3 linked regions of the Xenopus tropicalis genome follow. The protein of the gene in region 2 interacts with the protein of the main gene of each other region in a pairwise test. Links are inferred from orthologs where the notes say so. Each region holds a gene or a part of one and is shown on either strand. Other genes may lie near its edges.

Region 1 (10,750 bases), on a different chromosome or scaffold from region 2:
CCAGAAATTGTCAAAAACTGCATATTAAGTTTTACATTGGAATAGGTTTATCTTCATCTTAAAGCCCTACACATGGATCATTTCCTATGAAATGTAATTTTTGCTCCCACAAACATGATCAGATCATATTCTATTTAGCTTTACCTACTTATGAACAAACTACAGTTCTCTTTACGCAGCTCTGTTCATCTTCCACTCAAGTCCAGGTAAAATAGAGTGGTCAGGCTGGAAAACCACTAAAGCAGGCATTTTTAGGCTGACCTCCACTCCACGTACTTGCACTCAAATGGAAACTGTACTAAGTGCAAGTAAACAAAGATACGTAAGGGAGCTGTTCCTCTTCTCAGCCTGCAGAAAAAAACGCAGGCCAAGAGAAGTTCAGCAAAAGGTCTGTGTGCCCATATCCTTAAGGATACGAAGGGGTACGCCCCCAAAACATTGCTGTTATTCTTAAATAAACACGCAGGAGCCCCGCTTGCATCACACTTGTTGTGCCGGTCAATTGCTTTTTCTGCATATCCTTAAGGTGGACATATATGATAAGATCTTTTCCCCCCCAATATGCCCACCTAAGGTAGGCAATATTGGGCCAATTCGATCTTTGGATCAAACCTGCCCAGTCGACACCTGGCCAATTTTCAGCCAGATATCAGTTAGGTAGGGCTATCGGGGGTCCCCATACATGGGCAGATAAACTGGCGAAACGATCTAAAGGTCTAGAATTAGCAGCTTAAATCTGCCTGTATATGGCCACCTTTAGTCCACACCTATTGTTACAATGAGGTTATAGTTACCATGTGGGAGGTGATATGAAGGTTATGATCAGATTGCAAGTGAAACAAACATTTCTTTGGCCAACTGCCTCCCTTCATATAAAGCCAGATGATTAAGTCAAGATTGCTGCAAGAAAAGCCTGTTACTTGTGGCAATCTAAGGTTAAGATTTGTCGCCCAAGGTTAAATCTGCACTACTGCAGGCAACAAATCTCTACCATATGCCATCACCCTTAGGGGCATATTTATCAAATGGCGAACTCTAACATTCACAAATTTATTTTGCCCGTGCGTGGCCCACAGTAGTCTTTAAGCTAACAGACCCATCATCATTTCAGTCTTCTACTGACCCTAAAAGATTTTACAGAATTGGTTCAAGAAAAGTTTTTAAACAAGAAAGTTTAATTTCTAGAAATAAAATAGTAAAATGTCAACAATGTACCTTCACAAGAGGGAGTAACGGCTCTGTTAGATGCAGGGCTAGCAGGTGTAGGGGATGCGGCAGGCACTGGCATAGAAACCGACTCGGGAGGTACTGTACTAGGCTGGGGTGATGACACATTTGAACCTGGTGCATGACTTCCTAGCCTTGGAGACCTCGGCCGGTGTGTCTTTGGAGATAACCTTTGAACTGTAGAAAGGAAAAAAAAAAAAAAAAAAAATATATATATATATATATATATATATATATATAAAATTTACAGAATAGTCCGCACTCCCATATCACTCATATTTCACATAGTTTCTCTGGGTGCTGCAAAACGGTTGTTCCATGTATACAATATTCCAAGGATTGTGCGCACTCCAATTCCAAATGTTAAACTTTACATCAACGTTTCGGTCATGGTCTAAGACCTTGTTCACGATGTTATACCCTTAATATAAATTACATACAATAAAACTTTATATACAAGATTAATCCCACCCACTGGTCACATGTCAGCCAACCGGCCCCACCCCCCTCCCCAGACATTAACCATGTCATCAAAGGGGTGCGGGAAATCCCTATTCACACAGGTATGAGGCACAATGACTACTAAACTTCCCTGCATAATACTACCTCAAGTCACTTAAAGTCACCTAACTGGCAAAAAACAATGCAGAGAACAATACTCATTTAGCCCCCTTGGTGAGTGTATCAAGTTTTCTAATCCAAAAGGATTCACGTTGGAGTAGCAACCTGTACCAACGTACGAAAGCCCACACGGGCATGTGACAAGGTAAATTACATGGGTTGTGGTACACGTAATCCGATGCCGTATTTTAAATCTCTGTCCCGTGTGTGGGTGTGTAAAAGTCTCACCAGGTGTCATAACGGCAGGATATGCATGTCTGGCACCTAAAGCACCCTAATTTAATATCATTTAATATCATTCATTGACTTGAGGTAGTATTATGCAGGGAAGTTTAGTAGTCATTGTGCCTCATACGGATTTCCCGCACCCCTTTGATGACATGGTTAATGTCTGGGGAGGGGGGTGGGGCCGGTTGGCTGACATGTGACCAGTGGGTGGGATTAATCTTGTATATAAAGTTTTATTGTATGTAATTTATATTAAGGGTATAACATCGTGAACAAGGTCTTAGACCATGACCGAAACGTATGCGATTATCCATGAATAAAGTTTAACATTTGGAATTGGAGTGCGCACAATCCTTGGAATATTATGTATGTATGTATGTATGTATGTATGTATGTATGTATGTATGTATGTATGTATGTATGTATGTATGTATGTATGTATGTATGTATGTATGTATGTATGTATGTATGTATGTATGTATGTATGTATGTATGTATGTATGTATGTATGTATGTATGTATGTATGTATGTATGTATGTATGTATGTATATATATTTCTCATTTACACAAAAAAATATTAATATAACATAACTAAGTGACAAACATCTATAAATACTACATGCAGTGTGGGCGTAAGTATCAGTGTGCAGGAGATTTCAGATATCCACACAGGAGATTAGCCAACCAGCTAAGAAGCTAATCTTCTGTTCTGTAATATCAATAAGTTATAATATAACAAGACTAGAATGGTAAACAAGGTACACTACAGACATTTAAATCCATAGCATGAGGCAGACATCTTTATGGATACAGAACACAAGATGTTTCGATCATAAAGGGCAACTCAAAGAATGGGAAGCACAACAAGTAACTGGGCATCCAAAATGGTTCCAATTGCTGGAAATGTAAAGAGAGCCACCACTATTAGTGTCTTATGTTCCAGTGTTTTACGCATACATCAATTAAATGAACAGACCATTGTTTTCAATACAGCTTAAAAAAAAAGCTCATATTAAAGAAAGAACAAAAATAAGGCTCCAATTTCATTATTTGCAGTACTTTTGGCACTTTTTGTAAGATTCAGAATCTTAGTGTTCAGTCAAACCAATTCAAAAACCTGAAGAGTATGGCATTAAAAGCCCTGTATAATTCAATGCGACAATTTTTGGTTCACTTATGTTTTTCTCAGATTTGAATACATTAATTAAGATAAGATTCATTTCAGTATTTAGTCAAATTTAAAAAAAAATAAAAAATAAAAAAAATTATGTATTCCACAGATCTCTAAATTTGTATAGTCTTAATTGTGGGATTGAAACAGTGGTAGGCCGCAGAGGCACCTCTCTTTGGCGCAGCCATATTGGGGGAAAATATTACTGGTGTTTATAGCAGCCTTATTGTTCAAATCCTTCTTCACGATTCAACTTGTTGCTGGCAGCTATGGTATAATACTTTTTTCGATGCTGGTTTACAAAACTTAATCTTAGAGTCTCCCATCCTCCCGAAGATCACGCAGAGCTGAAGTATTTGCTGAGCAAAGATTTATATGGTAACATTAACAATCATCTTCTTATAATAAGTTTTTTTTTTGTTTTTTTAAAGATTGCCTGTAAAAGTTTACAAAAGAACAATTCTAAAACTTGCCTCCGCTTACAACAGAAGACCACGTTCCACCAGAGGAACTATTTCGAGCTACGGGTTGTGCAGACACTTCTCCAGGTTCATTGCGAGAAACAAATTCTAAGCCTCCACAGATTGTGCCCCTACCATTAGAAACTCTGTGGGTACGAGGATGCCGTTGTGCCTTAGGAGACATTCTTGGAGGTCCTAAAATACAAAATAATTAATCAGACTCTCAAAAAAAAGGTACAAAGTAGAGGTGCACCGAACCCAGTTTTTTGGGTTCAGCCGAACCCCTGAATCCAACCCAAGGGATTCAGGCGAATACCGAACCAAACCCGGAGGGGGCAAATATTTTGCTTTCGTGTTAACGCAAACATTTAAACCTTCCAAATCGGTTCACCCAGGACCGTGGATTCGGCTGAACCCTGCCAAAAAGGACCAAACCCTGGCCGAATACCGAACCAAATTCTGGTTTTGGTGCATCCCTAGTACAAAGAAAAGACCAAGTGTTTAAGCATAGAAAGTGTTGCCTTTAAACCTATACATATGAATCAAGCAATTGTAAATATCATAGCAGCAAATTAATATAGTTTTGCAGACATCAACATTATCAAAGATTTCTTTATTGCTTGCAGTTCACTAACTTCTACAGGAATGGAGGCAAACAAGATTTACATGCAAAACATTAAAAGGCTTTAAAGTACCCTGCAGAATTCCCCCTACAATTACCACTATTCTAGACCAAACGTGCCAGTCACCAGTGACATTAGCCACTGAACACTGGCTGTTACTTCACAGTGCTGCCAACTGAACCGAGTCTGCCCATGCTGGATGGACAAATCAGACTGAATAGAGGTGGGGGAGGACCTGTGCAGTCCCACTGGATGCAAACTTTATCTATAGGCCAAAGCTGTCCTCAACTAATCAGTTGCACTTGATAACATTGTTTTGGGCCCATACACAGTCCAGACAGACTACTAATATGAGAAAGGAGTGCAGTCAGCTGCTTATTTATAAGAATGTTTATACAGTGTTAGATTTTTTGTTTTGTTTAAAAAGCAAAAAAAAAAAAAAGAAGAAGTGGGGCTGGGTGTAATAATATATATGCATTAAACATACACCTTAGTCTGTCAGTCTAATTTTAAGGAACAAATCTTAAACTGAGATTGTGATCTGTGACCTGAAGTATTAAGTAACCACATTTTAACATTTTGCCTTTTACAAGAAGGACACCTTTAAAGCAACTCTGTTATCTAATAGAACTATGCACAATTTAAAAGTGCACAAACAAGTACCTACATAGCATATTATGCATTGCCCTGGCAACTATTTATAAAGGCAATTGTCAGGGAAATTAAAGGCAAAGCAATACAGCACAGCAGCTGTAGGTGGCTGGGTCAATAAATGATGCCTCCCAATCGCCTACATTATTGTTTTTGTGAATGGCCCTGGCCTCCCGAGAGCGCTTTGCATAGTTTTTGAAGGATTCGTTATGCTGTATACTCAAAGCAAGACAAAATGAATGAATAAAATATGGTTAAGCTTAATAACTTAAAGTCATATGACTTACATTAAGTTACTAAGCTTAACCATATTTTATTCATAAATTTTTATTAGGTTTTTTCAAAATGGGAGGTGAGGCTTATTGACAAGGAATGTATATATGACAATCAAAACACAGCTATAACTAAAATAGGAGCCATTTAGCCATATGCTAAAGACAAAAGGTGGGGGATGAGATTACAGCAAGCAAGTCCAAAGTCAGTAAAATTCTCTAATAACTACAGGTAGAATAAAAAAAAATTACCTACATACAGCCGTCTGTACAGACCGTCAGGTCATATTTTGGGACAGCTTTGCAATTTGGACCAGACTGTGCATGTAAGTCAGATGATGCTCGACATCAGAGCTTGGACTGGGCCACTGTAGGATATCCACTTTTCTGTGTGTAGCACCACAGAAAAATAGAGGATTTCTTACCAATTTAGGCCAATTGCATATTTGTAAGATTGTCCCCTCAAGAAAAACAAAAAAAAAAAAAAAAAAAAAAAAAAAAACACACAACTTCAAATGCCTGTAGCTGCCAACAGCCACTTCAACAAGAAATATGCTGCCTATGGCATTTTCTTGTGTATGAGCCCAAAATCATGTTCTTCCTTATAAATAAGCATGGTCTGGGACCATGCTTATTTATAAGGAAAATACAACAAATGGAAGCCTTAAACAGGAGGAAAAATTAATAAAAAAAACCAAACAACAACAAATTGCAGATAAGGTTTCTTTTAAAAAAAAAACAAAAAAAAAAAACCTCTTAAATTCCAGGTACTGCTATTTTTTTTTTTTTTTTAAAGTGATACTGACACTAAAAAACTAGACTTCAAAAAATTAATGTACATTTAAAGTTACCTATGGGTCATTTTGATCATTTTTCACCGATAGATTTGCTTTTGTAATTAATGGCTACTTGACGTTCCTAAACCTGACTGTCCCTTCTCAGCCTGTCAGTTATAGCTTCTAATGCTAACGGACTCCTGAGCATTAATATGGCAGCCCCTAATACAGAAATGTGGGAGGGAGGGGAATCTGATTAGTAATGAAAAAGCAGTAGGAAAACAATTTTACGGCAAAATTCTAATTTAAAAAAAATAAATAAAAATAAAAATTCAGTCAGTATCCCTTTAAGGTAATTGGATGAAACATGCCTTACATTTTGCATTTTAGTTTTAAAGCCATTTTTGGCTCAAAAATTAAGGGTTGTCAAAAAGAGCCACAGAAAACCAAAGGAGAAGATGAAATGGGATTATAAATGTTTTGATATTTACCCATCACAACAGCATGAATCTAGACCTATCATGCTCTCATCTTATAGATGGAAGACATGGTTTCCCTATGCTGTAGGCATGATGGAACTGACAATACAAAGGGGAAAAAAATAAAAAAAATAAAACAGAGGTGTTGTACCTTCTGAAGACATGCGTTTAGGCATAGTAGAGACAGGAGCTGGAGAACCATGAGCAGAGGGGTGAGACGGGGGCCTGGATGGCCGCGAAGGGGGCCTGGAGGGCGGCCTTGTAGGGGTGGCTGCCCGAGGTGGAAGAGAGTTGGGACCTGACTGGTAGCGAGAAGGTGGGCGGGAAGAAGGAGATGGACAAGGCGATGGCCAGGGAACACCTGACAGAACAAATGAGATGAAGGAAAAGTAATAATAAAAGAAAGTAAAAAAAAAAATAATGAGATGAAGGGGTAGGGAACAAGTCAACAGAAAAAAAGTAAAATACAACAGAGGGGAAATGGTTTCTCGCACGTCTTAAGAGAAGCAAAAGATATTTTATGCTACAAAAAGACTCATATTTCACACAGTTTATGCACCATAATTAAGATAAAATGTACATTAATTTACACAAAAGGTTACTTTAAATTGACCCTTTTTCAATTACTTTCTCCCCTTTTAGTTTAACTTTCAATGCCACTTTCTTCCTAGGGAAGACCAGCATGTGTATGTATTTCTTAAATCAAAAGGAAATAGCATATCAAATCATGTTATAGCTACCACCCTAAATAAAAACACTTACCATTCAACAGTATACTACTTAAACAGTACATTTGTAAATGTACTAAAAAATATTTTTTAAAAACCTTGATCAGCTAATGAATTACTTGCCTCCATTTATGACTCTCTGATCAGCTCCAGCATTGGGGCTGTAGTCAGAAGAATGGGATCCTGTCCTTGAAGGAATGGGCCCTGATCCAGACTGTCCAATCCTTGCAGAAGTTTGCCTCCCACTGTGAGTTGTCCATAACATGGCATCTTTATTCCTCTGCACTGGTGGAATGTACTTGTTTTCTCTACAAAACCATCATAGAAAAATATAATATATATATATAAAAATATAATATAAAATATAATATTATATATATTTATATATATATAAAAATATAATATAAAATATAATATTATATATATTTATATATAATATTATATATATTTATATATAATATTATATATATTTATATATAATATTATATATATTTATATATATATATAAAAATATAATATAAAATATAATATTATATATATTTATATATAATATTATATATATTTATATATAATATTATATATATTTATATATAATATTATATATATTTATATATAATATTATATATATTTATATATAATATTATATATATTTATATATAATATTATATATATATATATATATATATATATATATATATATATATATATATATTATATATATATATATATATATATATATATATATATATATATATATATATATATATATATATATATATATATATATATATATATATATATAATATTATATTATATATATATATATTTATATATTTATATCCGGCATGGATCGAAACGCGTAGACATTTGGGTCTAAATAAACTTTTTTGTTTTTTATTTTTTCCTGGAGTGCTTTCTGCGAGACTTTATACTATTTTATGGTTAGCACCCGGACATTGGTGTTCCTGGTTGGTGAGTGCCGATACTTTGAACTTTATATATATATATATATATATATATATATATATATATATATATATATTTATATTTATATTTATATATTTATATATTTATATATTTATATATTTATATATTTATATATTTATATATTTATATATTTATATATTTATATATTTATATATATATATATATATATATATATATATATATATAATACAGATTTCCATTAGTATTTCCTCTTAGTGACAAGCATCTAAGAGTTTCCCTTGATTGTTTCAGCTCATCTCATATATTCCATATATATTTTTGACTTTGCACATACATACAGATACACACTTGAATGCAAACGTTTGAGTCACCCTTTAAAAATTCTGTTAAATTATTTTTACATGCAAAATCTTAATGCACGGTTATGCAACTTTATTTCAGAAATTATAACATTCTAGTATATTAAGTGGAAACCATCCTTCCTTTCAAATCAAACAACGTTGGCATAATTGATCCACCCCAAATATTTAACAGGTTGTTTATTCCATCATTAATTTTGCACCAAATTCTGCTTAGTCTGGCTGTAACCTGCCAATGCAATTTAACCAAGCAATTTTTAACTACAACCACAATATGGGTGGGTGAGCTAGAGTTCTATAGGAAAGCTAGTGTAGACGGGGCAGTTGGACTAGCAAAGGGTTGTGGGGGAGGAGTGAGGGGGGCATATAGTTTATCGGATAAGGAGCCTCAGTTACAAGGATAACAGTCTAATATTTGCCTTAGCTCCAACTCTCCCTTAGCTAATGTAAACATCAGAGGGAGAAGTAGTAATCTCCGCTGCATGCTGGCTAATGCGCGAAGCTTGTCGGGTAAATTTGGGGAGCTGCAAGCTATTGCATGTATTGAAAATTATGATTTAATTGGTATCACCTGAGACCTGGTGGGATGATAAATGCGACTGGGCTGTGAATTTAAATGGTTATACACTTTTTAGGAGGGACAGAGAGATTAAAAAGGGTGGAGGGGTTTGTCAGATATAAAGCCATGTAATAAAGACATTACCAATGAAATGTTGAATCTCTTTGGGTAGAAATTTCAGTAGGGCTGAAGGTCACAAAGAAAATGATCATTGGTATATGCCATAAACCACCCCGTATAGATGAGGGGGATGAGACCCAGGCTTCACAACTGGGTCAAGTTGTTGTTATTATGGGGGACTTTAATTATCCAGACATTGACTGGAGTAATGGGGTGGCCAAGTCAGAAAAAGCTAGTAGGTTTGTAAATACGCTAAATGACAACTTTATTTCAGGCGGTTCAAGAACCTACTAGGAATGACTCTATTTTGGACCTGGTAATATCTAATAATACTGAACTCGTCTCTAACATTTGTGTGGGTGAGCATTTGGGGAACAGTGATCACAACATGGTCTTGCTTTGAGTTAATGCTGCAGAGACTATAAAGGGAGTAATTAAAACGCTCGATTTTAGACGTGCAGACTTTGCCAGTATAAGGGCATCTCTGCAATGTGTCAACTGGGAAAGGCTTTTCATAGGGTTAGATACAGAAGCAAAATGGAACATCTTTAAAACATTGCTTTGCAGGTATACACAACAGTATATTCCCCTTGTAAGCAAGAAGAGGCATTGCAAAGTAAAACCTTTATGGCTGAATAAAAGTATTCGAGGTTGGTAAGAAAAAAACGTGCTTTTAAAGCATTCAAGTTAGCTGGGACAGCAGAAACTTTCATCAGGTACAAGGAAGCAAATAAAGCATGCAAAAAAAGCTATCAGGCAAGCTAAAATAGAGATGGAAAGGGATATGAGTAAAAAGAATCCAAAATTATTTTTTAATTATGTGAATAGTAATAAAATGAAGCAAGAAGGGGTGGGAACCTTATTATCACGGAGGGGTAAGTTGGTTGATGAGAACGGGGAAAAAGCAGAAATTTTGAACTCTTATTTTTCATCTGTCTATACATCTGAGGAGCCAGCTAATGAAGGCTTCCCTTTTAATATGCCCAGTTCTAGTAATTAAGCTACTGACGCATGGGTCACTCGGGAGGAAATTCAACAGAGACTTGAACATGTAAAGGTAAACAAAGGTCCAGGACCAGATGGGATTCATCCCAGGGGTATTAAATGACCGGAGCGCTGCGATTGCCAAGCCTCTTCACTTAAAGGAACAGTAACACCAAAAAATGAAAGTGTATAAAAGTAATGACAATATAATGTACTGTTGCCCTGCATTGATACAACTGGTGTGTTTGCCTCAGAAAGATTACTATAGTTTATATAAGTAAGCTGCTGTGTAGCCATGGGGGCAGCCATTCAAAGGAGAAAAGGCACAGGTTACTTAGCAGATAACAGATAAACCCCCATTATATGGGGCTTATCTACTAGTTATCTGCTATGTAACCTGTGCCTTTTCTCCTTTTTTCCAGCTTTAATGGCTGCCCCCATGGCTACACAGTAGCTTATTTATATAGTAGCTTTTCTGTAGCAAAAACACCAGTTTTTTGCAGAGCAACAGCACATTATATTTTAATTACTTTAAAACACTT
Region 2 (10,750 bases):
CTCAGTGTAACAGACTAGGAACCTGACAGGGTGAAAGCTACAAATTGGGCTTACGTTGAGAGCACACAAACATGAAAGGATTACTATGAGAAGACAAAAACATTTTTTAGTGAGAAAAGAATGCCGTTTGGACAATCTCAAAGCTAAAGAACAAAGGATGGAATGAAAAATACAAATGCCATTTGGTGCACCATTGTGACAGAGAATGATGCCTGTCATATGAAGGATATTACCTGACAATCAACAGGTGTGGTTTCCATAGGTTGATCCTGAGATGATGCTTCAGGAGCCTAAAGTAAAATGCAGAACATTCAAAAAACCAAAAGTAGTGTGGATGAGAGAAAGAAATACGAAGAAAGAAAATAATGTAACACAAAAGGCAATTTATTGTTATACTGATGTATATTTAGTTTTGCTATTTCCCTACTGTGTTTTTCACTTTTCAAAGTGCAGAAAGTACAATTCATTTAGTGCCGTAGTAATGACTTTCTCTCACCTGCGGAACATCTCCCACTCTCCGTATATGTCTCTGTATCTCGCCCTCAGTCACAGGCATCTGCCCCAAGAGCACTTGAAGACGGAGGGACAGGACAGACGTCACCCACGAGACAAGCACAGGTGAAACATCTAGAGAGAGTCTTCGCTGTAAAAACAAAACACACATTGGAAATATAATGCAGACCCTGAAGACATGGGAAGAAACATAGGAAGCAAGACAAAACACAAAAACGTACAATTCTCTCATTAATGACAGATGTGAGAGCACTCTGGTCCCCTCGGAGGCAATACAGGTTGAGAGCAAGCCATTCAAAGAGAGACTGGTTACACATCTCAAGAAGCCGCTGTCCGAATGTGGAATCTGCAGGGAAAAGGCATTAATAAACTAGAATTCTAAAAAAAAAAAAAAAAAAAAAAAAAACTTATGTTCCTGTATGGAGTTTAGTTACTACTCACAACTGTAACACACAGACTAATCTACACTAACCATAATCAGGTTTGAAGCCTGCTTGCAGCCCCACCTCTTTACAATTAAATGACCAGATTATGGCAGGTCTTCAGAAACAGTGCTATCACTATATAGTTCCTGAGAGTCATGCAACAAGAAAACAAAATAATGTTCACCATAAAAGCACAACTAAAAAGCTAAAAGACAGTCGACTAAAAAAAAAAAAAACCCAAAAAACAAACTACAAAATCATATCTAGATGGTACAAATGCCCGGCCACTTTACACACCATGTTCCCAAACGTATCAGACAAGTGTTGGCGATGCAATATTCAGCGAGGTGATATGAAACATATATGGTGGGACTGTCCCAACCTACAACCATTCTGGACCCATGTATTCCAAACCATCTCTAAAGTGCTATGCCTTGACCTCCAACCCGACCCAGCCCTAGCACTACTCTCTAAACCCCCTACCAACAAACAAATTTCTATTAAGCAAAAGGGTCTCCTTGCCTTTTCATTAACGGCAGCTAGAACAGTTATACCCAGACTCTGGAAGAATACCAAACCCCCAACGATTGGAGACTGGGCGATTGAGCTCAACCATATTATGAGAATGGAAGAAATGTTAGCACATACCACCAAATCACGTGAAAACTTCACTAAAGTCTGGACAACTTGGATTCTATACAAAGAATCTCCAGAATATGGTCAATTACAACCAAACAACCAGCAACCCAATCCAGACCCAGGTCTAAGCCCTTGGAAACCCTGTAAAAATATGAGCAAAATCAATATCCTGGTATGCCACAACACAATATAATACACATACCTCTGCCAGAACATAAGACTATACCAAAAGTACAGGTACAAGTTATCACTGCATTGCTCTGCTCTACCCAACTTTTACCCCCCTTTCTCTTAGGGTAAAACATAACAGAAAACAAATAACTACCCTCTACTGTATATGGTCTCAAGTACAGTAAATTATTAAAAAAAAAAAAAAAAAAACACGCAATGACGTAACTATACAAACTGTGATAACTGTAACAGACCATTGATACCCCTACCCCCTCTTTTCCCACTTTGTATGTTATCCTTTTTCTTTGTAAATATTTGAAAAATGAAAAAAAAGAATATAAAAAAAAAAACAAAAAACTTTATTTCAGTGGACCTTAGTAAGTTACTATATATGAGGGACAACAAATTTGCTGGCATATGGGCTCTGGTTGAGGCCTCACGATACCATTGTTTATAGTTGCTGAGTGCATCATCTGTTTTATATGAAGGGAGATAGACAGTTCCCAAGTAACCAAATAAAGGTTTAGAGCAAGACTTTAAATGTGGATCCTTTTCCACATAGATACCTGCACAATGTAGGATGTGTGTTGTGATCCTGTTGAACTGATCCTGTAGAAATTCAAGGTTTGTTCTTGTGATATCAACATCATCACGCACAGTAACGGAGGCCTGGTAGACATGACACGGGGACAAGATTAGCGATATAACCACTAAAACAGTCAGTGTAAAATATAAAGGACAAAAAAATTCTTACAAAGCTTTCTCTTATGTACTCTTCCAGGCCATTAGTAAGATTTCTTGATGCCATCTGAAAGAGGCAGAAAAAAGATGTCTTGCTTATGGGATATAAGATAATATATATTAAAAGTTAGCATTATCACTGGGTGCTAAGAAAGAATCTAACTTCTGTGCAGAGATCATACTCAAAGGAATAAAGGATCAGCATTTTACTCCCCAAGTGAGATACACACCCACATTATAGCTGCAGAAAGGAACACATAGTGACATACCTGGATGTTATTAGGTGTGGGATCTGCCTGGTGTAGATACTCCTGAAGAAAGAAGGATCTCAGTTGAGGCTGCAGATTCTGCAAAGGCTGGGAATGACCATGCAGTAACATTACCATATCGACCAGGGAGAAATTGTGACAAATCAAGGTGAGTAAGTCACCAAAAAATCCTGGAACAAATGAGGCAGGAAACAAGTTAAAGGCCAAATTTTAGAGAAAGAATTCTAAAAAGAAAAAAGCTGGAGTAAATGGAAGAAACAATTGAAGGGGTGTAGAGAAAGAAAAAAAGACATATACAAAACGAGAAAGGGGCAAAAGGAAAATGCCATAGGGAAGTTTCCTACCACCAGGTCCCTCTGCATCAGGCTGGAAAATGTTGTGGGAGCCACTGAGCCTCTGAATGAAAGCTGCAATGCTTTCTGTTCCACTCTGATCAGCTGCACTCAAAGACCCCAGCATGGATGAAAGGACACCCTGAACAACACTAGTGAAAAACTCTGGAGGAAGAGACTCTGGTGCGGCAGCTGGAGGGGGAGAGGAATGGGCAGGAGGTGGTGAGGGTGATGAAGGAGGAGGAGCCTGAGAAGCAGACTGGGGAGGAGAAGTAGAAACAGGAACAGTCTGTGTAGCCTAAGAAATCAAAAAGAGAAGGATAAAGTTAGATTGTGTTTACTGATAGAAACTCATTGTATTTTCCCTTGTATAACCTATTCCTATTTTACTGCCTTGTGGTATCTACACATCTCTGTATTCCAAAGTCTTATTTTTTTGCTTTTTTAACAAAACACCAAAAACAAAGACAGCAGAAAAAACAGACAGTTGAGGACAAACATTATTATAGTCTTGCTTTACAGGAAGGCAAACACAAGCATCACAACTCACTGGTGAGGTTAGCTACCTCTTTCTAATTCTAAATACAAGTTCCATTTTATTTACCACCAAGGCATTTCCAAAACATTTTAAAAACTAGCCTACAAACCACTGACACCAGCTTCCCCACAGAGAAATGCGTAATTTGTATCTACAATGTAATTAACAAAGCTGGCTGTATGACCATTATTTACTAAATATACAAAAATGTTAGAGATGTTTTGTGACTTATAACGTATTTAAATATTTTTGTGTTACTGTTCCTTTAAGGACTGGAAAAGCATACGTATGCAACTGCATTGCACATGCACACTGAACACCACAATAGGTACCTGTAATATATCTGTGACACCCTGTAAAAAGGCCGGCATTCCAGGCACGGTAACAGTAATACTCGGCGAACCCATAGCGAAGTTTGACATCCCTGAGCCGGCAGTTCCCAGTAAAGAGCCCAGGAGCTGAGAGAGGTGTTGATCAGTGCCAGGTGGGGGCTGGGGAGAGGGACCTGATGAAACAGTGGGGAAGGATGTGGAAGAGGTGGTTGTTGTAGAGGTAGTGACAGTGGAGGATGAAGAGGAGCTGGAGGAGGATGTAGAAGTTGGGGTTGACGTAGAAGAGGGGGTGTTGCTGCCACCCTGAGCTGTGAAAAGAGAAGAATAACTGACAAATCAGCAAGAGAGAAAAATAAACAAAAAACAATCATTAGTAAACAAATGAAAGGCACTCAGCATTTACTTCAGTCTTGATTCTCTAACCTCAGCTTGTCCTGACTATAAAAATGACCAATGCAGTAAAATAACCACTTACACATAGACAGCTTGTTATAGAATCAGCATAGACAATTATTAATTTAGTGTTCAGTTACTTAAACCCGGCCTACCCAGTATTAATTACCTGTACAGGCTTATACATAAACTAATATCTTTTAAAAATAGGGAATGAGAATCTCCCAACCAAAAGTGTCCAAATTAGTTCTATTTCAGTATTATTGCAATATCTGCAAATACACAATGTCTTTTACAAAACCTTATGTTAAAAGAGAGAAAAAAAACAAGAAAGGAGAAGCAGGCAGATAGAAATTAGGTCAGGAAACAAGACATAACATTGGCCTTCTCACCAACAATAACTGGGTGCATCAGAAGCTGTCCAACAAGACCGCTGATCATCTGAGCCAAGGAGGCATTTCCTGCTGGACCCACCTGGAGACAGATGTAGGAGAAAGAAAGCTACAGGTTACAATGTCAAATTAAAATCTTAAGAAAAGAGAGTGCCAATAAATACAGGGTAAAGTGGGTGATGGGTTGCAGCCAACCAGAAATGATCTCAAATGACCAGTAACATCAGGAAATTAGGGTGCACCATGTGTGTTAATTATAGTTTAAATGTTCTCTGTGTGTGATAATAGCCCTATACTCTATTAATCACTATAGAATAGGTTGGACTTTGTTTAGACAAGAGGCGAAAGCTGGATGAGCAAAGAAAATAGTTTTACATGTTAAGGATGACACTGCGGGGCACATTTACAAAGCAATTTTCAGAAAAGGTTGATATTTTTTTTTACTTCTAGATATTTTTAACATTTTCTAATGGGTTTTCGCTGGTACCCGATTTTTCCGATATTGTTTCTCAAAATTTTCAGAAAATAACTCCCATAATCTATTATTCATTAACATTTATTTAACCTTTTTTTTGTCAAAAAAAAAAATCGTCAGGTTTGATCTGTTAAGTACAATTGAGTCCTATGAAGGCTTAGAATAGTAGAGGAATAGAATAGTAAGTGACGGCCTGTCCTTCACACATTTTTAACAGGAAGTTAAGCACCTCGTTGTTTTCTATCTCACCCAGATTCAAGGGGAAATTAATCCTATGATTGTTTTCAATTTCACCCAATTTCAAGGGGACATTAATCCCATCCTTGTTTTCTATTTCACACACTTTCAAGGGGAAGTTAGTCCCATTACTGTTTTCCATTTCACACATTTTCAAGGGAAGTTAATCAACTCACTGTTTTCTACTTCACATAGTTTCAAGGGGAAATCAATACCATCATTGTTTTTCTATTTTACACATTTTCAAGGGGAAATTAATCCTATCAATGATATCTATTTCACCCAGTTTCAAGTGAAACAAACACATTGTTTTCCAAGAATACTCCTAAAATGTCTGCTGGAGCAATTCTTGTTTGGAAAAAACAAACGTCCATTTAAACTTTTACATTTTTCAAGTTTTAACAATACTTTTGGCTCCAAAAAGTAAATTCAAAATTTTCGTACAGTGATTGAGTTTAAAGGAGAAGGAAAGTCAAAATCTATTAAGCACCCTATTAAATAGTACTACTATTGCTGTGTAAAAACACTATATTTCTGGCTTGCCTAATGAAAGATTTACAGAGATACACTTACTAGAACTTACATACTTGTTTCAGTGAACGGCGCCGCCATCTTGTCCAGCATGTCACAGAGTGTCCCCCCCCCCCTTCCTCACAGCATGTCACAGATCATCCTCTGCCGGCAGCACACACACACCCCTGCCGCCCAGTGGCTCGGCAGCTACTCGCATCTGCCATATAAGGAAGAGATATACTCACCCACCCCCCTTCCCCGCCGCTCCCCGCTCCTGCCACAAACCCTCCGCCGCTCCCTGCACCTGCCTCCCCGCTCCCCCCACCTGCATGTCACAGAGTTCACCGTCGCTGCGTCACCATGGCAACCAGACGCTCCTGCTGTGTGCGTATGCGCCGCCTGCAGTAACAAGTCGCCAAGTCTGGGAAGGAGCGATGCATTACGGGAATCTTCTCTACCCAGCTCAGCGTTTTTTTTTCCTGTTTGGCTTCAGATCTTCTGAACAGGTGAAGTTTGGCGAGACTTAAGGGCACTACTGAGAGAGCTGAAGGTATGCCTGCAGCTTGAGATTAACTCTTTATTAGCCTTTCCTTCTCCTTTAATTCAAATTTATACTATGACCTTGAAGGCCAGAAAAAATGAATTTTAGTAAATCAGCCCCTAATGTCACTATGACACTAAATGTATTCTGAGAATAGGAATAAGACTGTCACCTATTAGAAAAAAACTGATTGTTAGGCAGCTGAAAAGTTAGTTAATAGATCATAGAAACACTATGAAAAATGAGGAGAAAGCTTGCCAAGACATAAAAATGAATATTATGTAGAGGTGTAATCTCAAATATAAAACAGAAACTTTCTTACCGTTTCCCCAGGTACAGCAGTAGTTGCCCCTCCAGGTCCTGGTGGGGTAGTTGCTACCCCAGGCTGGGGTGGAAATGAAGGGGCAGCAGGCCTAGTAAAAACAAAGCGTGGTGGAGCTTGGAAGCCAGGAATTTGCTGCCCTATAAAAAATACATGAAGATTGTAAAGCTTCTGAGGTCTCTATCTATATTTACAGGAATCTGTTATTTCTTTTATTCCTTGTGGGATATGGTACAGTAGTGAACTCTATTATCCCTGCTTTAATTCCATCAGTGGTATATAGGGATACCAAATAGCATAATGCACTTACCTGAAGCTGCAGCCACAGCTTGCTGTGTAATCTGGTGAGAAATTGCCTGCATGAACTCAGGGGGTAATCCTGGCATATGAATGTGTGCACTTCCCCCTACACAATAGATGGCAAATTATATCCTATTAGTGATCTATTACAAAATTCCACAACATAAATGCATTTCAATATAACAGTTGTTACAGGATTTTAATATATAATGTATGTATGTATGTATATCTTTATTTCTAAAAACTACTTATGTAGGCAGCACTGTACAGTAGAATAGATTAATACAAACAGGGGGTTATTAAAATAATAATAGATAAATACAAAGTATAACAATAAATACAATGTACAGTTGCAATAAGTTAAGAGTCAAAGAGACAAGAGGATGGAGGTCCCCGTAGAGCTTACAGTAACTTACAGACATAAATAGGCAAATACAGGTGCTGTAGGTCACAGTGGGTCACACTACAATATATATGCTAGTTCCCAGATCAGGTGCTGTATAATGTTATTATATATTATCTTGTGACTTACCATGCCCCGCAGTTGGTGGGGGAATGTTTGTAGGGCCACCAGGTCCAGAATCTTAGAAGAGAATTGATATGTTATTATTGCTTCAAAAATGTATTTCATGAACAACATGTGCAAACGTGGAATAAACAGTGAGTTCCACAGCAACAAAGATATTGGAGCATGACACAAACAAAGGAGGATGAAGCAGTTAATAAAAGGAAATCAAAATTTGCAATATTAGGGGCACTGATTTAGGTCACAAAGACTATATATGGAAGAGCATGAGTGATATTAAAGGGGAACAAAATTTTTTTAAAAAAATTAAATATGGATAGAAATGCCATATTTTCTATTGTGGACATACTGCACAAGCCTTAAGTTTCAGCATCTCCATAGCTGCAATGATCTAGGCCTTCACAGTTGTCACAGTTGCTCCACATCTTGGATTTTGTGGAGTGACACTGCACATGCTAAGTGTGCTCTGAGCAGCTGTTGAGAAGCTAAGCTTAGGGGTCATTGCAAATTATCAAACAGAAAATTAGGTTTGCCTGTGATTAAAGCTGTTACAACAGGCTGATTACAACATTCTGATGCTAATTGCATGGATTTCAGAGCTGCTGTGTACTAATACATTGTATTATTTACTAATTAGCCTTATTTTGTGACATTTATATTCTATATATACAGTATATTGTGTATCGGCCCCTAAACTCAGTAAGTGACAGCAGCACAGAGCATGTGCAGTGAATCGGCAGAAGTGAAGATGGGGAGCTACTGGGGCATCTTTGGAGGCACAGATTGTCCCTGCTAAAAGACTGTGGTTGCCTTGGGCTGGTACAGAACCCTAATTAAGCTTTAGTTCTACTTCAATGACAGTTATATATAAATTACAGAACACCTACCCTGAATGTTCATATGCATCATCATGACAGGCTCAACAGTCTGGTGCGTAATCCGTACAACACGAGGGTGGGGATGTGGAACTGAAGTGGGAGGGATCTCAGAAGCTGGTCTCTCTCCACTGGATGGAGGTTGGTTGTCAGAGTTAGATCGCTGAGGTTCTGAAGTATTGGTAGGAGTATGAGCAGCATTCCCATCTGAAGGCATCTGACCAGCATGGGTTCCATTCCCAGTCATAGTGACTGTAGTACCAACATTAATCTAAGACACATATTATAGTGTGAAACAAAGGCAGGAAGGGCAAAGCTGCGAAACAAGGAAAGGAGGGATAACACAGAACAGTGGCAAAAGACAGGAATAAAAGCCAATGAAACTGTAAAAGAAAATGGGGCAAAGTATAGGAAACGTATACTAATAATAACTTTAACAAAGTGTTCTTTTGAAGCACAGTACCTGTATTGGTATAGCAGCTTGCTGTAGTAGCATGGGCCCAGTGTAATGGGACATAGGGCGAACAACATGCAAGTGTCTAGGAGAAGCAGAAGAGAGATTGCAGCGCAAGTCGGATACAGCAACCAGGGCATTTCCCAGGAGACGAAGAGATTCTCCAACTAAATTAATTATCCGCTGGGACTGCTCCCTTTCTTCCTGCTAGGGTTTAAAGCAAGGGAAGCAATATTTAGAAATAGAATAATGGTACAATTCATAAAATCTTTTACATTTTAAATTAATGGATTCAATCCAGCAGACAGAGAATGTGACACAAAAGATCTAGCCTAGCCATGTATCACCTGGCCTTAGCATCAAAGACTGTACAGCCTTCTGGAATATGCTTGTGCTGTATAAATATTTGGCAGTAATAAAGCCTAATCTCTTGCTGACTCTATGCCAAGCTCCTGGTAACACTTTGTTCGAGATGCCTGAAGTCAATGAATTCACAGAATAAAAAAGGACTAACATAATTGTAAAGATTTAGCTCAGACTAAACCTTATTGTTTTGCTATCTGTACTATCGCTACTACAATAGCTTGGAAAATATCTATGTATATAAAACCACACATATATATGTTTTGTGTCTATTCTAAACATGGGGTAGAGCAGAGATAATGATTTTGAGCAAGTGTGCACATGCTTATTCAGCATAGTTTATATTTGTTTTAAAATTGCCAAAGATTAACTTGTGTCAATTATAAGGCAAAACACAGGATGATTTTAGGATTGTCCATCCATATATCAAATCCAGTGGGCAAATGGGTCAAATATTGTGTGAACTGTTTATCCTTAAGGGCAGTCAAATGGCATTGTTCCATTCGCTTGGGCTGACAAATCAAACAAGTATATCTGAGAGGAATAAAAAGAGGCTAGGCCCTCATCTACCCATGAACCATCCACACAATAACATAAGGCATTGACAGATTAAACTTAACAGACCTGCAATGCAAGAGAATCATACGACTGTGATGCAAGAATATCATAGGTCCCTCAAGGTGCCATTACATGCACAGATGTTTAGGCAGTACTCTCTCTACCATTTCATATAGTCAGTGCTGGCTACAATTCAGCAAATATATTGTTTCAGTACAACTGAATTTTTAACCAAAAACCCAATACACCTATCTGCATTCTCACACATTCATAGTATCCTCTTATAGTTCACAGACCATGTTATTCCTCCATATCCAGAACAGCCCATCATACTATCACAAAACCAGAACCTATTCACAAATTTCACCTATAAAAGCCTATACCAATGCATACAAATATGTGATTTGCCAAATATAGTCCAGCTACTGACCCTTAAAAAATGCAAATATCTCTTTACTTATCTGTGCCTTTTTCTCACAAGCATCAACTCAAACAGCCATGAATAATGTTCCTTATTATCTACATAAATCATCAAATTAATCTTAATAAGTTGCTTTTTAAACAATCAATTAATAGACATTCTGTAAGTATGAAATGTTTAACACGTGAATCTTTTACACATCAGGCAACTTACATTCTCATAGGCATCAGAGGTAGCACTACTAAGGATTTCCCGGTAACGTTGCATGAAAGGGGCTAGACGTTCCTCAACCCGTGACAAAGACTGCAGGACCTCAACATATTCTGATGGTGAAGGATGACTAAAGCAAAAGAATTATTATAAGCTGTTGTTTTAGAAAAGGAGATAAAAAAGGGGTGGGGGGGGTGGAATTACAGTTTC
Region 3 (10,750 bases), on a different chromosome or scaffold from region 2:
GCCGGCATGAAGGTGTGCTTCTTCCCTATTTAAAATTTCTACAGGCCTGATATCCAACATCAGGGTCCAACATAACTAATGCACTTGTGGTTGAATGAAAGCAAATCCCACAAACAATGTTCTGAAACCCAGTGTAGAGACTTCCCAGAGGGTAGAGGAGTTATAGCAGCAAAGGTTGAAAGGAGATGTTGGACTGGTAGGTCTGTATCACGTCAAATGTTGTATTAATGTATTAATACAATTAACTGACTCTTACTGCTAGTGACTGTGTATACTTATGTATTAAAAGCCATAGGTTGGTTTCCCTGTTACATAGTGCTGTGGAATATTTTTAAAAAAGAGAAGAATATTATTACTCAAAGATGACAAACATACATATCTTTACACCATATAGATACATGGCACCAGATATCCCCCAAACTCCTGGAAACATATACGTATGCATCCCAGGCAGGGGAACTCCCATCTTCAAGCTACAGTGCAATAATTACACAAATACTTAAGACCCATACTCATGTGAATCCTATAGACCTATTTTTCTGATCAATACTGATGCAAAAATACTCACAAAAGTGCTGGCGAACAGACAAATGAAAGTAATCACATCTTTAATTCACCATGACTAGACAGACTTTATGCCACATAAGACCATTTCCATTAACCTCAGATGAATATACACACATATCCAACTGGCATACCAACATCAATCTGCCGGGATAGTGGCCTCACTAGAACTAACTAAGGCATTAGATTCAACTGCCAATATCTGTGGCAGGTGTTTGAGAAACTAGGATGTGGTTCTAAGATTATCTCATGGGTCAAACTGTTATATATGAAACCTGTAGCACAAATGTGGGTTAATAATACACTTTCTGAGGAATTTGAGTTCGAGAGAGGAACCCCTCTTATTTGCATTGGCCATTGAGCCTCTAGCAGCAAAAATAAGACTCCCATAGTCAAAGAAATCATGATTGGTAACGCAGAGAAGAAAGTAGCACTATATTCATATGATGTGCTACTCTTCCTGGCAGATGCGGGGCCCTCACTACAAACTACACTAGGGACACTTGAGAAATTTGGGGAGCTAAGCGGCCTTTGGATAAATAAAACTAAAGCCATACTATTCCCATCTGGGAGTCAAGCCACAGGAGAAAACACTCCCTTACTTAAACATCTAGATTCTGCTACCTTGGTATTATAGTTACAGTCAATGTATGTAAATGAGAATTTAAAGCCCATCTGAGCAAAGTTCAAATCTGTAATTCTCCACTGGAATTAACTACCGCTTACGCATTGGGAAGAATGAATCTCTTTAAAATGTTATATTTGCCTAAATTTCTATATCCACTGTGGAACTCTCCAGTATATACAGTGGAGGAAATAATTATTTGACCCCTCACTGATTTTGTAAGTTTGTCCAATGACAAAGAAATGAAGTCTCAGAACAGTATCATTTCAATGGTAGGTTTATTTTAACAGTGGCAGATAGCACATCAAAAGGAAGATCGAAAAAATAACTTTAAATAAAAGATAGCAACTGATTTGCATTTCATTCAGTGAAATAAGTTTTTGAACCCTCTAACAAAAAAAGACTTAATACTTAGTGGAAAAAACCTTGTTTGCAAGCACAGAGGTCAAACGTTTCTTGTAATTGATGACCAAGTTTGCGCACATTTTAGGAGGAATGTTGGTCCACTCCTCTTTGCAGATCATCTCTAAATCACTAAGGTTTCGAGGCTGTCTCTGTGCAACTCTGAGCTTGAGCTCCCTCCATAAGTTTTCTATTGGATTAAGGTCCGGAGACTGACTAGGCCACTCCATGACCTTAATGTGCTTCTTCTTGAGCCACTACTTTGTTGCCTTTGCTGTATGTTTTGGGTCATTGTTGTGCTGGAACACCCATCCACGACCCATTTTCAGTTTCCTGGCAGAGGGAAGGAGGTTGTCGTTCAGGATTTCATGATACATGGCTCCGTCCATTTTCCCGTTAATGCGAATAAGTTGTCCTGTGCCCTTAGCAGAAAAACACCCCCAAAGCAAAATGTTTCCACCCCCATGCTTGACGGTGGGGACGGTGTTTTGGGGGTCATAGGCAGCATTTTTCTTCCTCCAAACACAGCGAGTTGAGTTAATGCCAAAGAGCTCTATTTTGGTCTCATCAGACCACAGCACCTTCTCCCAGTCACTCACAGAATCATTCAGGTGTTCATTGGCAAACTTCAGACGGGCCTGCACATGTGCCTTCTTGAGCAGGGGGACCTTGCAAGCCCTGCAGGATTTTAATCCATTGCGGTGTAATGTGTTTCCAATGGTTTTCTTGGTGACTGTGGTCCCTGCTAATTTGAGGTCATTAACTAACTCCTCCCGTGTAGTTCTAGGATGCTTTTTCACCTTTCTCAGAATCATTGACACCCCACGAGGTGAGATCTTGCGTGGAGCCCCAGGTCGATTGATGGTCATTTTGTGCTCCTTTCATTTTCGAACAATCGCACCAACAGTTGTCACCTTCTCTCCCAGCTTCTTGCTAATGGTTTTGGACAGCTCTTTGGTCTTTCCCATGTTGGAGAGTTTGGAGTCTGCTTGATTGATTGATTCTGTGGACAGGTGTCTTTTATACAGGTGACTAGTTAAGACAGGTGTCCTTAATGAGGTCGACTAATTGAGTAGAAGTGTCTAACCACTCTGTGGGAGCCAGAACTCTTAATGGTTGGTAGGGGTTCAAAAACTTATTTCACTCAATGAAAGCAAATCAGTTGCTATCTTTTATTTAAAGTTATTTTTTCGATTTTCCTTTTGATGTGCTATCTGCCACTGTTAAAATAAACCTACCATTGAAATGATACTGTTCTGAGACTTTATTTCTTTGTCATTGGACAAACTTACAAAATCAGTGAGGGGTCAAATAATTATTTCCTCCACTGTAACTAATTAGTTCTTTAAAAAACTAATGAACTAATCCCATTTGGGCCAACAAAGCCCCAAGAATATCATGGCTCATGCTTACTGCTATTTTGCATCCCAATTATCCTACATACATAACTGGTTTAACCCAGACCACAGTAACTCCCTGACCGTACTGCATGCAGCAATTGTGGGCCATACGTAACTCGCCATTTAGATGAAAGAATGATCTCCCTCCTTTGCCCAAAGTATTTACCACCCATATTAAAATCTGGGCGAAGCTACAAATCAAGGCCTGTACCCCTCGCCCCTATAGAGAGATTCCAACCTGCCACATATGAGACACTTAACTGATTTCCAATATTGGCCGCAGTTAGGAATCAGGCACCTTGATGATTTACTGACTGAGAATTGTTTTATGTCACTAGAACAACTTAAGGCCAAAATCAACCGTCCAGATTGTTGGGTTCCTGACCACTCACTCTAAGGGGTATATTTATCATACTGTGTAAAAAGTGGAGTGAAGCATTACCGGTGATATTGCCCAGGGCAACCAATCAGCAATTAGAGTTCAACAGATTTCAACCAAAGCAAAGCATCCAATTGGCTGCTATTAGCATTATCACCGGTAATGTTTTACTCCACTTTTTACACAGCATGTTAAATATACCCCTAAGTGTAGGGACCTGCGGGAGCCCTCCTGCCAGGACAAAGTTGTGCATGGGAACAAGAAGTACACAACCATGGGGGCAGTTCAAACTTGTTCAGTTTATTTTTGTGTGCACATAGCTTTTATACCCTTTGTGTACATGCAAAAGCAAAATAATAAGTTTAAACAAAGATCTTCTGTACTTCAAGGCTGGCCAGTACGGGATGTGTCAGCGATAAGATACAAAATATGCAAGCTGCTTAAGGATCATTCTTGAGGAAAAACAACCATTATAGGGTGTCAAGCCTTGCACACAACAATTACAAAAAGGAGTTATATTTTAAAATGGAGTATAACTCCTAAGATTGTGGGTATAACAGGCCTAGCCTCACACAGATATTCAATTCTTTCATTATTTCCAGCTGAGACATGTATTTCCCAATTCAGGACCTAACAACTTTCAACTACACTACTGGCATGGGAAGCTAGACTTTGGGCTCCAGACCCAACCAAACTAGTATCCCAATTGTATAGCATAATTCAGTCTTCAGACCCAGCTCAATTTGATAAGGCAAAACGTAAATGGCTGGCAATAGTTCCATTTTTAGATGAGGATCAATGGGAAGAAACTATTGATAATCTATATATTTTTTAATATCACTAAGGGATAGAATGAACCATTTTAAGATGATTCACCAAATATACATTACCCCTCTGAAACTTAAGGTTATGGGGAAAGTAGAAAGATCTAAATGTTTGAAATGTAATATAGTAGAGGTAGATTTTCTCCACCTGATCTGGGATTGTCCTAAAGCAGTGCTGTCCAACTTCTGCGGTGCAGAGGGCCGGAATTTCTCTAGCATACATGGTGGAGGGCCGCTAATGGAAGCCAGTTTTGACCACTCCCCTTTTTTAAACCACACCCACTTCAAACCACACCCGTTTTATCACAATGGTGGTAGTGCAGCAAAAACCCAAATGCTTTGTCCTCACTGCAGGGATATCAACCGTTATTCATATATAAAAGGATTATATTATGTCATGTTAAGACACACCCTTAAATCCATATGCCTCCTCCTCACCTGTGGATAGCACAGCAACCCCCAGCACATAATTACACACCTTAGGGACCATTTAATGCCTGCCCTATGCTGCCTGTGTGTGCCATACTCTGCCTGTCCTATGCTGCCTATGTGTGCCAAACTCTGCCTGCCCTATGCTGCCTGCGTGTGTCATAATCTACCTGCCCTATGCTGCCTGTGTGTGCCATACTCTGCCTGCCCTATGCTGCCTGTGTGTGCCATACTCTGCCTGCCCTATGCTGCCTGTGTGTGCCATACTCTGCTTGTACTATGCTGCCTGTGTGTGCCATACTCTGCCTGCCCTATGATGCCTGTGTGTGCCATACTCTGCCTGCCCTATGTTCCCTGTGTGTGCCATACTCTGCCTGCCCTATGCTGCCTGTGTGTGCCATACTCTGCCTGCCCTATGCTGCCTGTGTGTGCCATACTCTGCCTGCCCTATGTTCCCTGTGTGTGCGCCATACTCTGCCTGCCCTATGTTCCCTGTGTGTGCGCCATACTCTGCCTGCCCTATGCTGCCTGTGTGTGCCATACTCTGCCTGCCCTATGCTGGCTGTGTGCCATACTCTGCCTGCCCTATGCTGCCTGTGTGTGTGCCATACTCTGCCTGCCCTATGCTGCCTGTGTGTGCGCCATACTCTGCCTGCCCTATGCTGCCTGTGTGTGCCATAATCTGCCTGCCCTATGCTGCCTGTGTGTGCCATACTCTGCCTGCCCTATGCTGCCTGTGTGTGCCATACTCTGCCTGCCCTATGCTGCCTGTGTGTGCCATACTCTGCCTGCCCTATGCTGCCTGTGTGTGCCATACTCTGCCTGCCCTATGCTGCCTGTGTGTGCCATACTCTGCCTGCCCTAAGCTGCCTGTGTGTGCCATACTCTGCCTGCCCTATGCTGTCTGTGTGTGCCATACTCTGCCTGCCCTATGCTGCCTGTGTGTGCCATACTCTGCCTGCCCTATGCTGCCTGTGTGTGCCATACTCTGCCTGCCCTATGCTGCCTGTGTGTGCCATACTCTGCCTGTCCGTGCCATACTCTGCCTGTCCTTAGCTGCCTGTGTGTGCCATAATCTATTTAAACAATACAGGGGGAATACAGCCTAAATCTGAGGTGAGAACCATGCAGGGGGCCAGATAATCTCAGTACTGATACCATTTAAAGTTTACACAAAGGAAAGCCATCAAAGGAGCCAGACAGGTGGGAGGCCGCGAGCCGCCAGTTGGAAAGCACTGTCCTAAAGTATTAACATATTGGACAGAAGTCATCCACTATATAAATGAATGCCTACTTCTCCCTGGCATCAGGTCTCCTGAGGTCTGCTTGTTTGGAATTGTAGACAAATTAGTGCCTCTTCAAAAATCTAGAACATTGTTACGCTCTCTCATCTTTTATGCAAAAAAGATAGTAATAATAAAGTGGGCCCCATCCTTCCCACACTTCAACAATGGGTGGAGCTAATAAATGGTACATTGCCACTGATCAAATTGACATACAACGCCCAACCCACATAACACTTCGGGGCACATTCATGAAACCGCGAGTTCGAATCCCGAATGGGACAAATTCGGATTGGATATGATAATTTCTGAAGATCGCAAATATCACGAATATGCTTACGAAAAAATCGGGAAAAAAAAAAGCGGGAAAACCTTTCCGATTTTTTTGCACAAAAGTATGAAAAAGTCACGCAAGCGATGAAAAAGTCGCCGAAAATACGCTTAGAGGTATATTTATCATGCTGTGTAAAAAGTGGAGTGAAGCATTACCGGTGATGTTGCCCAGGGCAACCAATCAGCAAGATTTCAGCAGTTAGAAAATGAAAGCAAAGCATCTGATTGGCTGCTATCAGCAACATCACCGGTGATGTTTTACTCCACTTTTTACACAGCATGATAAATATACCCCTTTGAGCGTTCGTGAATTAGTAAATCTGCCCCTTTGTGTACTCTGACACACTGCTTCTTAATCTTAAAATGGTCAATAAGTATATGATATAAACGACTGTACTTAATTATGATGTAAGTGCCAACTTTGTTTATCTGTTCTATTTCATTTTTTTTTTTATTTGTATAATGCAAAATAAAAACCTTAAAAAAAAAAAATGTAAATGGTTAGTAATGTCACCATACTGACCTGTTCTAACCAAGGGATGATGCAGTCATTGTGAAATAAATGATTGCAAGGAAGTTGCCGCACACTTTCACCAACAGTATAATCCTCTTTACACACGGGACACTCCAGACCAGAACCTAGTAGCAGAGAATGCTAAGATTAGATTAAAATGTCAGGCAAGGAGGCAGGAGAAAATAAGTCTGGTATTCATTACAGAGAAACAACCTTCATTTACTATTTACCCTTCAAGACCTGCAGCTATACAATGACAGACTAGCTGAGAACACACTTTTCCACAGGGATACATTGAAAGCAGGGCCGGATTGGCAATCTGTCGATTCTGGCAAATGCCAAAAGGGCTTCTGTAAAATGCCATAGACAGTCACTATTTATTGGGCCTCTGGATGGCTATATGGGCCTCTATGTACTTGGAATGCCAGGGTCTATTTTGAATTCCAGTCCTGAAGGAATGGGAAATATAACGATTCCTAAGCAGAAAATGACCAGCGCTATTAGTTTAAGCTAACTAGAGCTTAGGACCTATTAGTAAAGGTACACTGTTGCTTCATTAATCTTTTATTTCAATGCTATATCATACTTTTTCTGGGATACATTTGATTCCAGTTTTGCTGGATTATTGTCATGGCTGTCCCTGTGCAGGACGGCAGTAAGTTTCCCACTTACCCACATGCTCTTCTGTTATCTGGATGGTAGGAAGGGCTTGTATTTTTTCAGTGTCCGCAGGGGGAGGGCCTGTGTTTTCAAACTGATTAAGTAACTGGAGGCAGAAAAAAACCAGAGACAAGGATTCATGTTGGTGTGACTATAAGTATAAAATAATGGATAGAGTAATGGAATGTAGGTAATTAACAGACATACACATAAAAACTGCTGCACTATAGTGACTTCATTAATGAGCAACTTTATTGAAGCATCAACAATTTGGCAGCCTTAAAAGGGTATATTTGATACCCCTGTATTATATATGTTTGCACCAGTGCCATTTATCCCAAAATATGTGTATTATGGGCTTTGCACGCATTACAAAATTTGATTTATGGATTGCATTTAATAGCTGCAGGTAAGATATGTTGAAAATGTTGCTTACTTGTGTGATTATTGTATCTAGGCCATTTGCACCCCATGCATAATCCATGGGGTTGGAATGCAGGACACCCCTGTTCAGAGGAAAAGAAGGGAAACCATTAGTTAAAGCAGTCTACACAGATTCAAAATGTTGCTCCTACTCTGCACCCCTTTTTATGTATTGAGAAAATAGGGGATAGGTAAGAAGCATTAACAGTGGTTTGTAACCTACTTGCCCAACTTATTAACTAAGAAACAAATTAGGAAGCCATATAACAAAATGAACCATCAATATATTTATATATTCTTACAGCATCTTAAAGTAGAACAGGGATAGCTGTTGATTAACATTCGCACTGTACATTATATGGGAGCTGCCATGGTTACTTATGTAAGGAAATCTTGTCCCCAGACTATAATGAAACAGACTCTCAAGAAAAAGAGCTGCTTTGGGTATTAATCCCTAACCATGTAAAAAAAAAAAATTATTTGCCTTTTGTATATAATAGGATATAGGAAGCAAAGGAAAATTCTGCATGCAAATACAATAATAAGGGTGTCTCCCATTCCAGTCCAAGTTTACACAAAAAAAAACTGGACATCTTACAAAAATCTGACCCACAAATTCATTAGTGTAATGAGCCCTTAACATGGCAGTAAGTTGTATTGATGATTTTTTTCCATGCAAAAAATAATAATTAGCTGCATATTTGCTATTTTATGTGGGACAGGGCTGCCAGTATACTTTATTTGTGCCAATTACATTTCTTCATATGGTTTCCGTAACCATGATAACTCCAACTCGTGTATGAAAACAAACAAATAGGTACATCCTTAGGAATAACCTATAATTATGTTTAATTAAATGATGCATTGAATCATATGTACAAGCTTTTATTCTGCCCCAAATGTCTTTCTAAAAGGGGTACCTTGTTTTATGTATTGTGGTAGCACCCAGGTATTGACAGGTTTTGGAAGGAACTACTAAAATTCATGGAAGAGATTTTTCCTCTATGAACCTTCTCTACTTAAAGGGATACTGTCATGATTTTTATGGCATACTTTTTATTTCTAAATTACACTGTTTACATAACAACTAATCCACTCTACCATTTAAAATGTTATTCTTGAACCAACAAATGTATTTTTTATAGTTGTAATATTGGTGTGTAGGCAGCCATCTCAGTGCCTTGTACCTGAGTCTGAGCTTTCAGAAGGAGCCAGCGCTACACATTAGAACTGCTTTCAGGTAACCTATTGTTTCTCCTATTTCCATGTAGCTGGAGGAGTCCCACGCCAAACTTGGATTTCTTACTATTGCATGCTATTCTGATATCTACTGGGAGCTGCTACCTTGCTACCTGCCCATTTTTCTGCTGATCAGCTGCTGGGAGGGGGATGATATCACTTCAACTTGCAGCTCAGCAGTAAAGTGTGACTGAAGTTTATCAGAGCACAGGTCACATTACTGTGGCACCCTGGGAAATGAAGAATATGACTAGCCCCATGTAAAATTTCAAAATAATATATAAAAAAAATGTTTTTGAAAAACAGATTTCAAGGCAGGATTGTGCTGGAGAAGCTCTACTGACTGATGTGTTTTGAAAAAACATGTTTTCCCATGGCAGTATTCCTTCAAGTTTGTATCTGCTGTTCATCACTGGTAATATATCTATGCACTCTTATACTCAATAGTTCGCTAACTATTAAAGGAGAAGGAAAAACAAAATTGCTTCAAAATTACAGACATATTCATATTAGTAACATAATGCCCCAGCTCAGCTCTGGGTTGCTTTGTTTGCCTATAAATCAGCCACAGTCCGTCCTACAACCTGGCAACCTGTTAATTTCCAGTGAAGCTTCCTTTGCTTCTTTAACAGTGAATTTCTGGGTCCAGTGCATGTGCATTTGCCTGCACTGCTGCAGAGTCTTCCTTTTTTTTTTTTTCCTTTGCATACGATAATCTTGACAGTTAGCCCCGCCCGCCTATTCACACTCTCCAATCTTATTGTAGCCCTATTTTTTCTAGGACAACAATATACACAGTCCTGCACAATGCGTCAGAAGAAAGCAACAGGAGGAAGTGACGTAGGGATGGTGCAATGAAGCAAACTGCGCTAAACTTAAAAACTGATATCACGAGTTAATAGGCAAAATTTATTTTTTTACCTGTAATATTGGTGTGTAGGCATTTTGCCCTGAGCTTTCAGAAATACCAAGCACTACACAATAGTTCTGCTTTCAGATAAGCTATTGTTTCTCCTACTACTCAATGTACTGTTGCATATTCTACCCAAGTCGCATAATAACGAAACAGGGTTTCTCTTGCTCCAGTGTCATTCTCATGTTTACCACTAGGTGGAGCAAATGATACACATTCAGCAATGCAAACTATTTATGAATTCATTTAATTTCTACAATGCTGAAATCTTTTCCAGCCTTCAGGAAACCTACTTTTAGTAAGAGAGTCTGGGGTCTCAGAAATCACTTCATGTATACGGGGCTAACATTTTTTGATTATTTTCTATCCTCCTTTCCCTCCTTCTGCCTTTCAAATGAGGGGCAGCCAACAACTGAATGTTCTATGAGGCTGCAATGTTATTGTTACTTTTAGTATTTCTCCTATTTATCTTCCAGTCTCTCATTCAAACTACTGCCTGGTTAATTGGACCCTTGACCTAGAAACTCAAGACCACTTGAAAATTGTTGAATATCACTGCCAACTATAAATCATACTAAATCTTAATTAAAGGTGATCTACCCCAAATTAGTTTTTTTGTTATCCTGCACAATTATCTTAACACAGCGAGCCAGAAATGTTCTCCTCCAGTTAAAGGCACTTTTCATTTACCATAGATTTGTTGTCCTGGCAATTTTTTTTTTTTTTTTGTACATCAAACAAAAATAAACAGGTGCAAATTAT

What was found.
Region 1: the proteins of bag6 (region 2) and atxn2 interact in binary tests that used the Homo sapiens proteins (3 or more experiments, as listed by UniProt). The link is inferred for Xenopus tropicalis from reciprocal best matches to the Homo sapiens genes BAG6 and ATXN2.
Region 3: the proteins of bag6 (region 2) and rnf126 interact in binary tests that used the Homo sapiens proteins (3 or more experiments, as listed by UniProt). The link is inferred for Xenopus tropicalis from reciprocal best matches to the Homo sapiens genes BAG6 and RNF126.

The regions. Positions count from the first base shown.
Region 1 is NC_030677.2:163,118,029-163,128,778, reverse strand, and holds part of atxn2 (ataxin-2), read right to left. Parts: intron 7,547-10,750; coding exon 7,362-7,546; intron 6,872-7,361; coding exon 6,662-6,871; intron 3,905-6,661; coding exon 3,722-3,904; intron 1,405-3,721; coding exon 1,216-1,404; intron 1-1,215. UniProt on the Homo sapiens protein: Involved in EGFR trafficking, acting as negative regulator of endocytic EGFR internalization at the plasma membrane.
Region 2 is NC_030684.2:74,266,836-74,277,585, reverse strand, and holds part of bag6 (large proline-rich protein bag6), read right to left. Parts: intron 10,671-10,750; coding exon 10,544-10,670; intron 9,196-10,543; coding exon 8,998-9,195; intron 8,806-8,997; coding exon 8,547-8,805; intron 7,717-8,546; coding exon 7,666-7,716; intron 7,240-7,665; coding exon 7,144-7,239; intron 6,974-7,143; coding exon 6,834-6,973; intron 4,828-6,833; coding exon 4,746-4,827; intron 4,269-4,745; coding exon 3,961-4,268; intron 3,389-3,960; coding exon 3,103-3,388; intron 2,929-3,102; coding exon 2,759-2,928; intron 2,557-2,758; coding exon 2,503-2,556; intron 2,418-2,502; coding exon 2,315-2,417; intron 860-2,314; coding exon 735-859; intron 644-734; coding exon 497-643; intron 291-496; coding exon 234-290; intron 1-233. UniProt on the Homo sapiens protein: ATP-independent molecular chaperone preventing the aggregation of misfolded and hydrophobic patches-containing proteins.
Region 3 is NC_030677.2:105,797,476-105,808,225, forward strand, and holds part of rnf126 (E3 ubiquitin-protein ligase RNF126), read right to left. Parts: intron 7,920-10,750; coding exon 7,850-7,919; intron 7,520-7,849; coding exon 7,426-7,519; intron 6,879-7,425; coding exon 6,763-6,878; intron 1-6,762. UniProt on the Homo sapiens protein: E3 ubiquitin-protein ligase that mediates ubiquitination oF target proteins. Depending on the associated E2 ligase, mediates 'Lys-27'-, 'Lys-29'-, 'Lys-48'- and/or 'Lys-63'-linked polyubiquitination of substrates.